Linked DNA regions of Tribolium castaneum. The protein of the gene in region 1 purifies or fractionates together with the protein of each later gene. This does not show direct contact. Links are inferred from orthologs where the notes say so. Each region holds a gene or a part of one and is shown on either strand. Other genes may lie near its edges.

Region 1 (4,556 bases):
ATTTTTTTGTTGAATAAAATTTTCCACTATAGAAATTGCTTATCTTAATTTTTAGCAAAAAATTTTAAAATGTCAGATCTTGTTGAAAGTTGGTATAATACAGAAAATGAGCCGCTGAATTCAATAGAACAAACCGCATTGCTCTAAGACTTTTAATTTTTAAGTTATGAACTTTTTTGTTGAATAAAATTTTTCACTATAGAAATTGCCTATTTTAATTTTTAGCAAAAAATTTTAAAATGTCGTATTTCGTTGAAAGTTGGTATAATACAGAAAATGAGCCGCTGAATCCAATGGAACAAACCGCATTGCTCTACGACTTTTAGTTTTTGAGTTATGAATTTTTTTGTTGAATAAAATTTTCCTCTATAGAAATTGCCTATCTTAATTTTTAGCAAAAAAAATTAAAATGTCAGATCTCGTTGAAAGTTGGTATAATACAGAAAATGAGCCGCTGAATTCAATCGAACAAACCGCATTGCTCTACGACTTTTAGTTTTTAAGTTATGAATTTTTTTGTTGAATAAAATTTTTCTCTATGGAAATTGCCTATCTTAATTTTTAGCAAAAAATTAAAAAATGTCAGATCTCGTTAAAAGTTGGTATAATACAGAAAATGACCCGCTGAATTCAATGGAACAAACCGCATTGCTCTAGGACTTTTAGTTTTTGAGTTATGAATTTTTTTGTTAAATAAAATTTTTCATTATAGAAATTGTCTATCTTAATTCTTAGCAAAAAATCTTAAAATGTCAGATCTCGTTGAAAGTTGGTATAATACAGAAAATGAGCCGCTGAATCCAATGGAACAAACCGCATTGCTCTACGACTTTTAGTTTTCGAGTTATAAATTTTTTTGTTGACTCTTTGACGGATTAAATTTTCGATTTGTGTTTTTTATTTAAATCACTCTGTATATTATTTTATCAACGAACAGTTGGTTTTACATAAAGTAAGCAAACTGTACGTCCTTGCATTTATTCAGATATTTCATTCGGAAGTCTGATAAATATTCACACTTGTCTCATATCCGGAACAGTTCTCATTTTATTTAAATTGAAAAAAAAAATCAAACAAACGTCTCACATTAAACTATTACGAAAAGGAACATTTTTTTATATAAGTTATTAAAAATTTCGTAATAAAAATTATCTTGTACAAGTTTTGATCAATTACATTGTTATCTTTGTTAGCTTTAGTCTAGTGTCTGGAATGTTACAATTTGTTTGTTATCTTATCAGGAAGTTAAACGATGTACAAAAGTTATAATTTGTCGCTTTTATCACAATGGCAATTAATAAATTCGTAGCTATTAAGTTGCAAAACTACGTTACGCCACTGGATACCAAAAACAAATAAATCAAAACAATTTTTACCTTTTTATCCAAGTCATGAAACAGCAATTTGCATTATAATAATAAATGTAATTTAACTGTTGTTGCGGAGAACAAAGCTACAATTTGTCACGTTTCATTAGAATTCATGAAAAAATTTAAATTGTCACAATAACTATAAACAACCAAAGGGTTGTCAGCCCTGACCTGCCCATTTGTTTACATAACCCCAGGTTACTAAACCTCACAAAATAAAAAACACACGTCAAAACATGCAATTTATTAAACAACACGACCTTGTACAGATTTTTCACCAAACCTTAAAAAACCGGTCAAAGTCAAGTGACAAGGCCACCGTTCAAACCCCGCGCCATTGCACTGTGGCCGCGCACGCGCAGCTCACTTGACCGCATTGACATTGAGCGTTCAAATTTCAAGAAAACGCAAAGATTAGAGAGCGATTAGGACGTTAAAAGCCGATTACGAGAGTTGTGTTTCAAAAGGTGTGCGTTTGTGTACGTCGGTCGTTGATTAGCGTCCCTAACCTCACATTTCCAGCCGACCGAAAATGAGCCTCTCTTCGACCGTGGTGGCCACAGCCCCCTTCGAGGGCCAGAAGCCGGGCACGAGCGGCCTCCGGAAGAAAGTCAAAGTTTTCATGGAGAAAAACTACACGGAGAATTTCGTGCAGTGCATTTTGGACGCTTTGGGGCCCAAGCTCAAGGGGGCGACGTTGGTGGTGGGCGGCGACGGCCGGTATTTCTCCAAACAGGCGATCAATATTATCATTCGGATTGCGGCAGCTAATCAGGTTGCTTTGTTCACTAGTTTAGTGATTTTTTTATTCAATTTTTTTGGACAGGTGGCTAGACTGATAATTGGGGAACGGGGGATTTTGTCAACCCCGGCGGTTTCGACGCTCATTCGCACGCATAAAGTCTTGGGCGGGATTGTCTTAACTGCCTCACATAATCCGGGCGGAATTAGGCACGATTTTGGTATTAAATTTAATATAGAAAATGGGGGCCCTGCCCCGGATTCGTTCACGAACGCTGTGTACGAATTGACGAAGAAAATCACGGAGTATAAGTTCACCCCCGACTTGGATTGCGAATTTGATAAAAAGGGGGTGCAGAAGTTTACCGTTGATGGGAGGGAGTTTGTGGTGGAAGTTGTGGATTCGTCCGATGATTATGTGGCGTTAATGAAGGAGATTTTCGATTTTGGGAAATTGAAAGATTTGATTCGGGGGAATGGGAAAAGGCCGCCGTTCCAGGTTTTGATTGATTCAATGAATGGGGGTGAGTTAGGCAACCAATTATACACTTGATTAATAATACGGAAATTGGTGCACAATTAATTATTATTCACTTGATTATCGATTAAAATAACAGGATGGGTTCGTGTTTGCTGATTGTATCCTTGAACCGGATAATTCCGGTTTAATTGAATGCTTTCCGTAATAAAGTTCAAAAAATTATCGCATACATGTGATAAAGTCGTGTCTTTTTGGACTGTTTTATGTTTTTAGTGCCTTACTTAATTTAACTGCGTTGTTGTTGTCACAGTTAAATGTGTTTTTTTATGGAAATAAATTAATGATAACCACAAAGTTAAAAATACATAAATTAATGACACGATTTTTCGTTTGAACTAGGCGTCTAAATGTGTTGCTAGTAATAAGAAAACTACATTTAAAATAAATAATAAAGTTTATTAAAAAATTAGTTCGGTTTTTAAGATTAAAAATCAATGACGTGTTTCGTTATCAAAGTTGAACTACATTTTTGTGCGATAGATTATGAACCTTGTATAGTTATTGCCAACGTATATTTTGTACATTATCTCATTCTTTTTGCCCAAAAATTTTGAGGAAGCAAATAATAAAAGTGAAAAAAATTAATAAAAATTGTGGTATTTTACCAAAAAATCTAAAAATCATATTAGCCTTGATTATCAAATACAAAAAATATACAGGGTGTTTAACATAACTTCACAAAGCCTCCGCCTATGTAAAAGTCACAAAACACTAGATACAAAAAATTACATTTAATTATTTAATTTTTGGAAACCCGTGACAGTGGTTATCAACTTAATCACAGTCTCATTAATTTTTACCAAAAATTGTTATGTGTTCTATTAAAAGATAAAATAAATTTGATTCTAATCTATTTTATTACTAACTACCAAAAAAGCAGTATTTTTTTGAAGGGGTGAACAAACTAGAGAAAACTACTTAATTTTTCAAAATTTTTGGTCGAGTTTGTATGGGAATATGTATTCTTGGTTGCATTTTACAGGCGGAAAATTATGTGAAACACCTTGTACTCCTTCTGTTCGAAAATATGGAATTTATTTTTGTTGGAATTTAAGGTTCACGTTTTTAATTATTTTAATAAAATAATTGTTAATTATTTAAGTATCTTTAGTAGTAACAAAGATAATTACGAATAAAATTAATAAAATGGAACTTTTATCTCGAACCTTTTCACAATTTCTTGCGATAATTTTTTTACGTATTTTTGTCACTAAACAATGTTTAAGAATGTACTACAATGACATAAGGAAATAATAAAAAATAAAATAAAAATATATAAAAAAATTATAAATAATATTTTTACTATATGTAATATGTAATTACTTTTGTTAATGTAAAATGTGTATTTTTTGCATACTTATTTTTAAAACATACTATTAACTTACCATTTGCATTTAAATCTTGAGTTTCTTTTTTTTTTAATTATTTTTTATAATAGGAAGTCTCGATACTTCAAAGTTTTTGCTGCCAACTATATTTTTTATACTTCTCATAGAAAAATTAAGTCAAAACATTTAATAAACTTACAAAAGTGCTTTATTAAGCCAGTCATCAAGTCTTTTAAGTTTATTTCTGTATCAGTCTGTACTTCAATTTTTACTTTTTCTTTCTTATTTTTCCCAAATAAATATAAAAACACGTAGTAGGACTAGGAATTTTTTTGTTGGGTTGTATTAAAAACACAATAAATAAATTACAATTTATTTAATACTTGCAAAATTACAAAACGACGACAAAAAAACAGAATAAGAGATAATACTATCTAAAACAAAATTATACTAATGATCCCAATATGACATTAGTTTAATTCTGAATTAAATCTTAATTGTGCTTTCTGTAAACCGGCCCTAAAACATGTCATTCGGTGTTATAATGAACAATTATCAGAAAATATATTCCTCGTT
Region 2 (3,488 bases), on another chromosome or scaffold:
AGACGATCCAGCGAGTCAGAAATACGTCCATAACAAAATGCTGGCGGCCCGTAACGTGGGCATCACCAGCGAGACCATCCGCATGCCCAAAACCTCCACCGAGGCGGAAGTCCTCGCCAAGGTGCACCAGCTCAACGAGGACCCCCAGGTGGACGGCATCCTGGTGCAACTGCCGGTGCCGGAAGGCATCGACGAGCGCAAGGTCTGCAACGCCGTGGACCCCCGCAAGGACGTGGACGGCTTCCACATCCTCAACGTGGGGAAGCTCACCCTCAACATGGACACCTTCGTCCCAGCCACGGCCTTGGGAGTCATCGAGCTGATCAAGCGCTCGAATATCAAGACCTTCGGAAAAAATGTGCTTATTTGCGGGCGCTCGAAGAACGTGGGGCTGCCTATGGCGATGCTGTTGCATTCGGACGCGCGGAATGAACTCTCGGGAGGGGAGGCCACCGTGGTGCTCTGCCACAGGAATACGCCTCCAGAAGAATTGGAGTTTTTCGCAAAAAGGGCCGATATTATTATAAGTGCTACGGGGGTTGTGGGGCTCATTAAACCGAGTATGATTAAGCCAGGGGCTTGTGTTATTGATGTGGGCATTACGAGGATTACGACCCCGGAAGGCAAGAGTAAAATTGTTGGAGATGTTGATTTTGAAGGGGTGAGCAAAATTGCGGGGCATATTACACCGGTCCCGGGGGGCGTTGGCCCCATGACTGTCGCCATGCTCATGCACAACACCTTTAAAGCTGCCATGGATCTTGCGAAAAGTTCATAAGTATTATATTTGTTTGGACAGTATTGTCAAATTATTTATTTTTTAATAAAAATTTAAATCTGATGCTTTGTTTTGGTTACCAACCTTTTTATCCCAGTTTCGCCGTTATCGGCCTATTACCTTTTTATAAACTATAAAGTGGGGCTTTTTCCTTCGATGTGAAGTGTAACATGTGGAAAAAAATTCCGCCTTTAATTCCAAATCCCATGATAGCAGAACATTCTTTTTGTCGTCATTATTCATATTTACTGTTATTAATTATTATATACGCAAATTCATATAATTTTATTTGTGAATTAAATTAACAAAATCACGTTTTCTGTCCACTTTTTAAATGTCGTTACACTTATAAACATAACAAACACCATTGATCCAAATAATAAATCCAAATAATAAATATAAATAAATATATAAATATATTTATTTATATAAAATATATATAAATAATATAAATAAAAATAAATAAATATATAAATAATTCTAATAACAAAAAAAAATAAAAAAATTAACTGGTAAAATCGTCAAATTCCATCTTTTCAAGGATCAGAATTTCTGCAAAATGGAAGCACTTTTTGTGTCTTTATTTAATTAGATATTTTTTTTAAATTATTTTGGAATCATAAATAAAAATCACTTGATGTAAACAAAGTAATATCTGTCTAAACCCCATATAGAACTTTTTTAGAAATAAGAAAATTATTAAAATGCCTGAACTGTGCTTAGAATATTTTTTGAAGCATTTTCCGTTAAAATTATTCCAAAAATCGTCGAATTTAAGGATTATTGGTGATATTTGTGTTGTTAGTGTTTAGTGCAAATTTTTTTTTACTAAGCTCGTTTGAAAATATGCAAGTGACACAGTTGGCGACACTGCAGCTGGACTTTGGTGAATTTTACTTTTCCAAGCCGGCGACATTGCAAAATGCCAACCAGCCAATAATTAAAAAATTAACTTCACAATTAAATGCTTTTTACCACAAAAATGACTGTCCAATTTGGCTTTTCTTTGACCCGACTTTCTGCAACAATTACTTTCACTCCCCAACGATTTCTTCCAAAGTCCAGTCGGACATTGCTAGTGCAAAAAACCAAAATTCACACAAATTGCCCAAAAATGACCCGACCTTCGGTCTACATAACACGCAAAATCAACGAAGAAGCCCTCAAATTACTATCAGCGACGTGAGTACCCAAAAAAATGAAAAAAACCTAACCTAAAAAACAATTATGACAGCTGTGATATAACATCATGGCCAGGACCGGATCCAGTCCCGCGCTCCGAACTCCTAAAAAACATCCCCGGAAAGGACGCCCTTTTCTGCATGCTCACCGACAAGATCGACAAAGAGGTGCTTGAAAAAGCCGACAAACTCAAAGTAATCTCGACCATGTCGGTGGGTTACGACCACCTGGAAATCCCCGAAATAAAAAAGCGCCAAATCAAAATCGGGTACACCCCCGATATTCTCACCGACGCTACGGCCGAACTCACCGTGGCTTTGCTCCTAGCCACCAGTCGGCGCCTCCTTGAGGCCAACGCCGAGGCGCGGACTGGGGGCTGGAAGGCCTGGGCCCCCTTCTGGATGTGCGGCCCAGGCCTCGGGGGCGCCACTGTGGGCATTGTGGGCTTCGGCCGAATTGGCCAAGAGGTGGCCAAGCGGCTAAAGCCCTTCAACACGCGTCAGATTCTTTACCACAGCCGATCGGCTAAAAAAGAGGCCGAGGAAATCGGGGCCCGGAAAGTCACTCTAGATGAGTTGCTCACACAAAGCGATTTTGTGGTCGTTTGTTGTGCGTTGACCCCCGAAACGAAGGGGATGTTCAACGAGGGGGCGTTTAAAAAAATGAAAAAAAGCGCCGTTTTTGTTAATACGAGTCGAGGGGCTGTTGTGGATCAGGATGCCTTGGTTAGGGCGCTTCAGAGTGGGGAGATTTGGGGCGCTGGGTTGGATGTGATGACTCCTGAGCCCTTGCCCCTCGATGATCCGCTTTTTGGGCTGAAAAATTGTGTCATCTTGCCGCACATTGGCAGTGCGTGTATTGAGACAAGGAATCAGATGGCTGTTCTTACAGCTAATAATATTTTAGAGGCTTTAAGAGGTGGCAAAATGCCTGCCGAGCTGATTCTGTAAAAGGGGAAAAAATAAAGAATTTCTAATGATTTCGCCGTGTTTTTGTTTCTAATTTTACACCAATTCATGTTAATAAACCGTTCTAAATGATGGTAAATTTAAAAGTATTGCTGGGTGATTCTAGAATTTCTCTATTTTTGGACTTTTTGATATGCGATGATCGTATATTTGCTCAACTGAAAATAACTTACATATCGTTTATTTTTTAAACTTTTAGATTAGTTACACCTTTTAAGTGTAATAGTTTTTCCATGGCCAAATGTTATCAAACAGAAAATTAGTATATTTATCAAAAACGATAAAAAAAGTGCGTTATTTTGCGTATCAGAAAAAAATATTTGCGTGTACAACCCTCTGAAGTTGTTAGAAGTAGAAAAAAGTCAATAGGTTCAACTTTTAAGACTTTGATTTCTCCAATTTTGTCGCGGTTTTGGTCGATTTCGGGTACCCGGAACATTTCTCGAGCAATAGCTCCGGAACTATTAGAGATAACCCCATGAAGTGTATTATCGTTGGAAAGCTCTTTAAATTATCTATTTTTTTCAAAAAAAAATCGACAAACTTAAAAAATTACATTG

The links.
Region 2: the proteins of Pgm1 (region 1) and glyoxylate reductase/hydroxypyruvate reductase fractionate together in Homo sapiens (co-fractionation; 3 studies listed by BioGRID). This does not show direct contact. The link is inferred for Tribolium castaneum from reciprocal best matches to the Homo sapiens genes PGM1 and GRHPR.

What each region holds. Positions count from the first base shown.
Region 1 is NC_087401.1:12,928,473-12,933,028, forward strand, and holds the start of Pgm1 (phosphoglucomutase), read left to right. Parts: upstream 1-1,683; 5' UTR 1,684-1,837; intron 1,838-1,845; exon of another isoform or gene 1,846-1,892; 5' UTR 1,893-1,902; coding exon 1,903-2,145; intron 2,146-2,196; coding exon 2,197-2,635; intron 2,636-4,556. UniProt on the Homo sapiens protein: Catalyzes the reversible isomerization of alpha-D-glucose 1-phosphate to alpha-D-glucose 6-phosphate. The mechanism proceeds via the intermediate compound alpha-D-glucose 1,6-bisphosphate.
Region 2 is NC_087399.1:691,138-694,625, forward strand, and holds glyoxylate reductase/hydroxypyruvate reductase, read left to right. Parts: upstream 1-1,656; 5' UTR 1,657-1,742; coding exon 1,743-1,960; intron 1,961-2,012; coding exon 2,013-2,910; 3' UTR 2,911-2,940; downstream 2,941-3,488. Other genes in the region: Nmdmc (bifunctional methylenetetrahydrofolate dehydrogenase/cyclohydrolase, mitochondrial), read left to right, coding at 1-778. UniProt on the Homo sapiens protein: Enzyme with hydroxy-pyruvate reductase, glyoxylate reductase and D-glycerate dehydrogenase enzymatic activities. Reduces hydroxypyruvate to D-glycerate, glyoxylate to glycolate, oxidizes D-glycerate to hydroxypyruvate.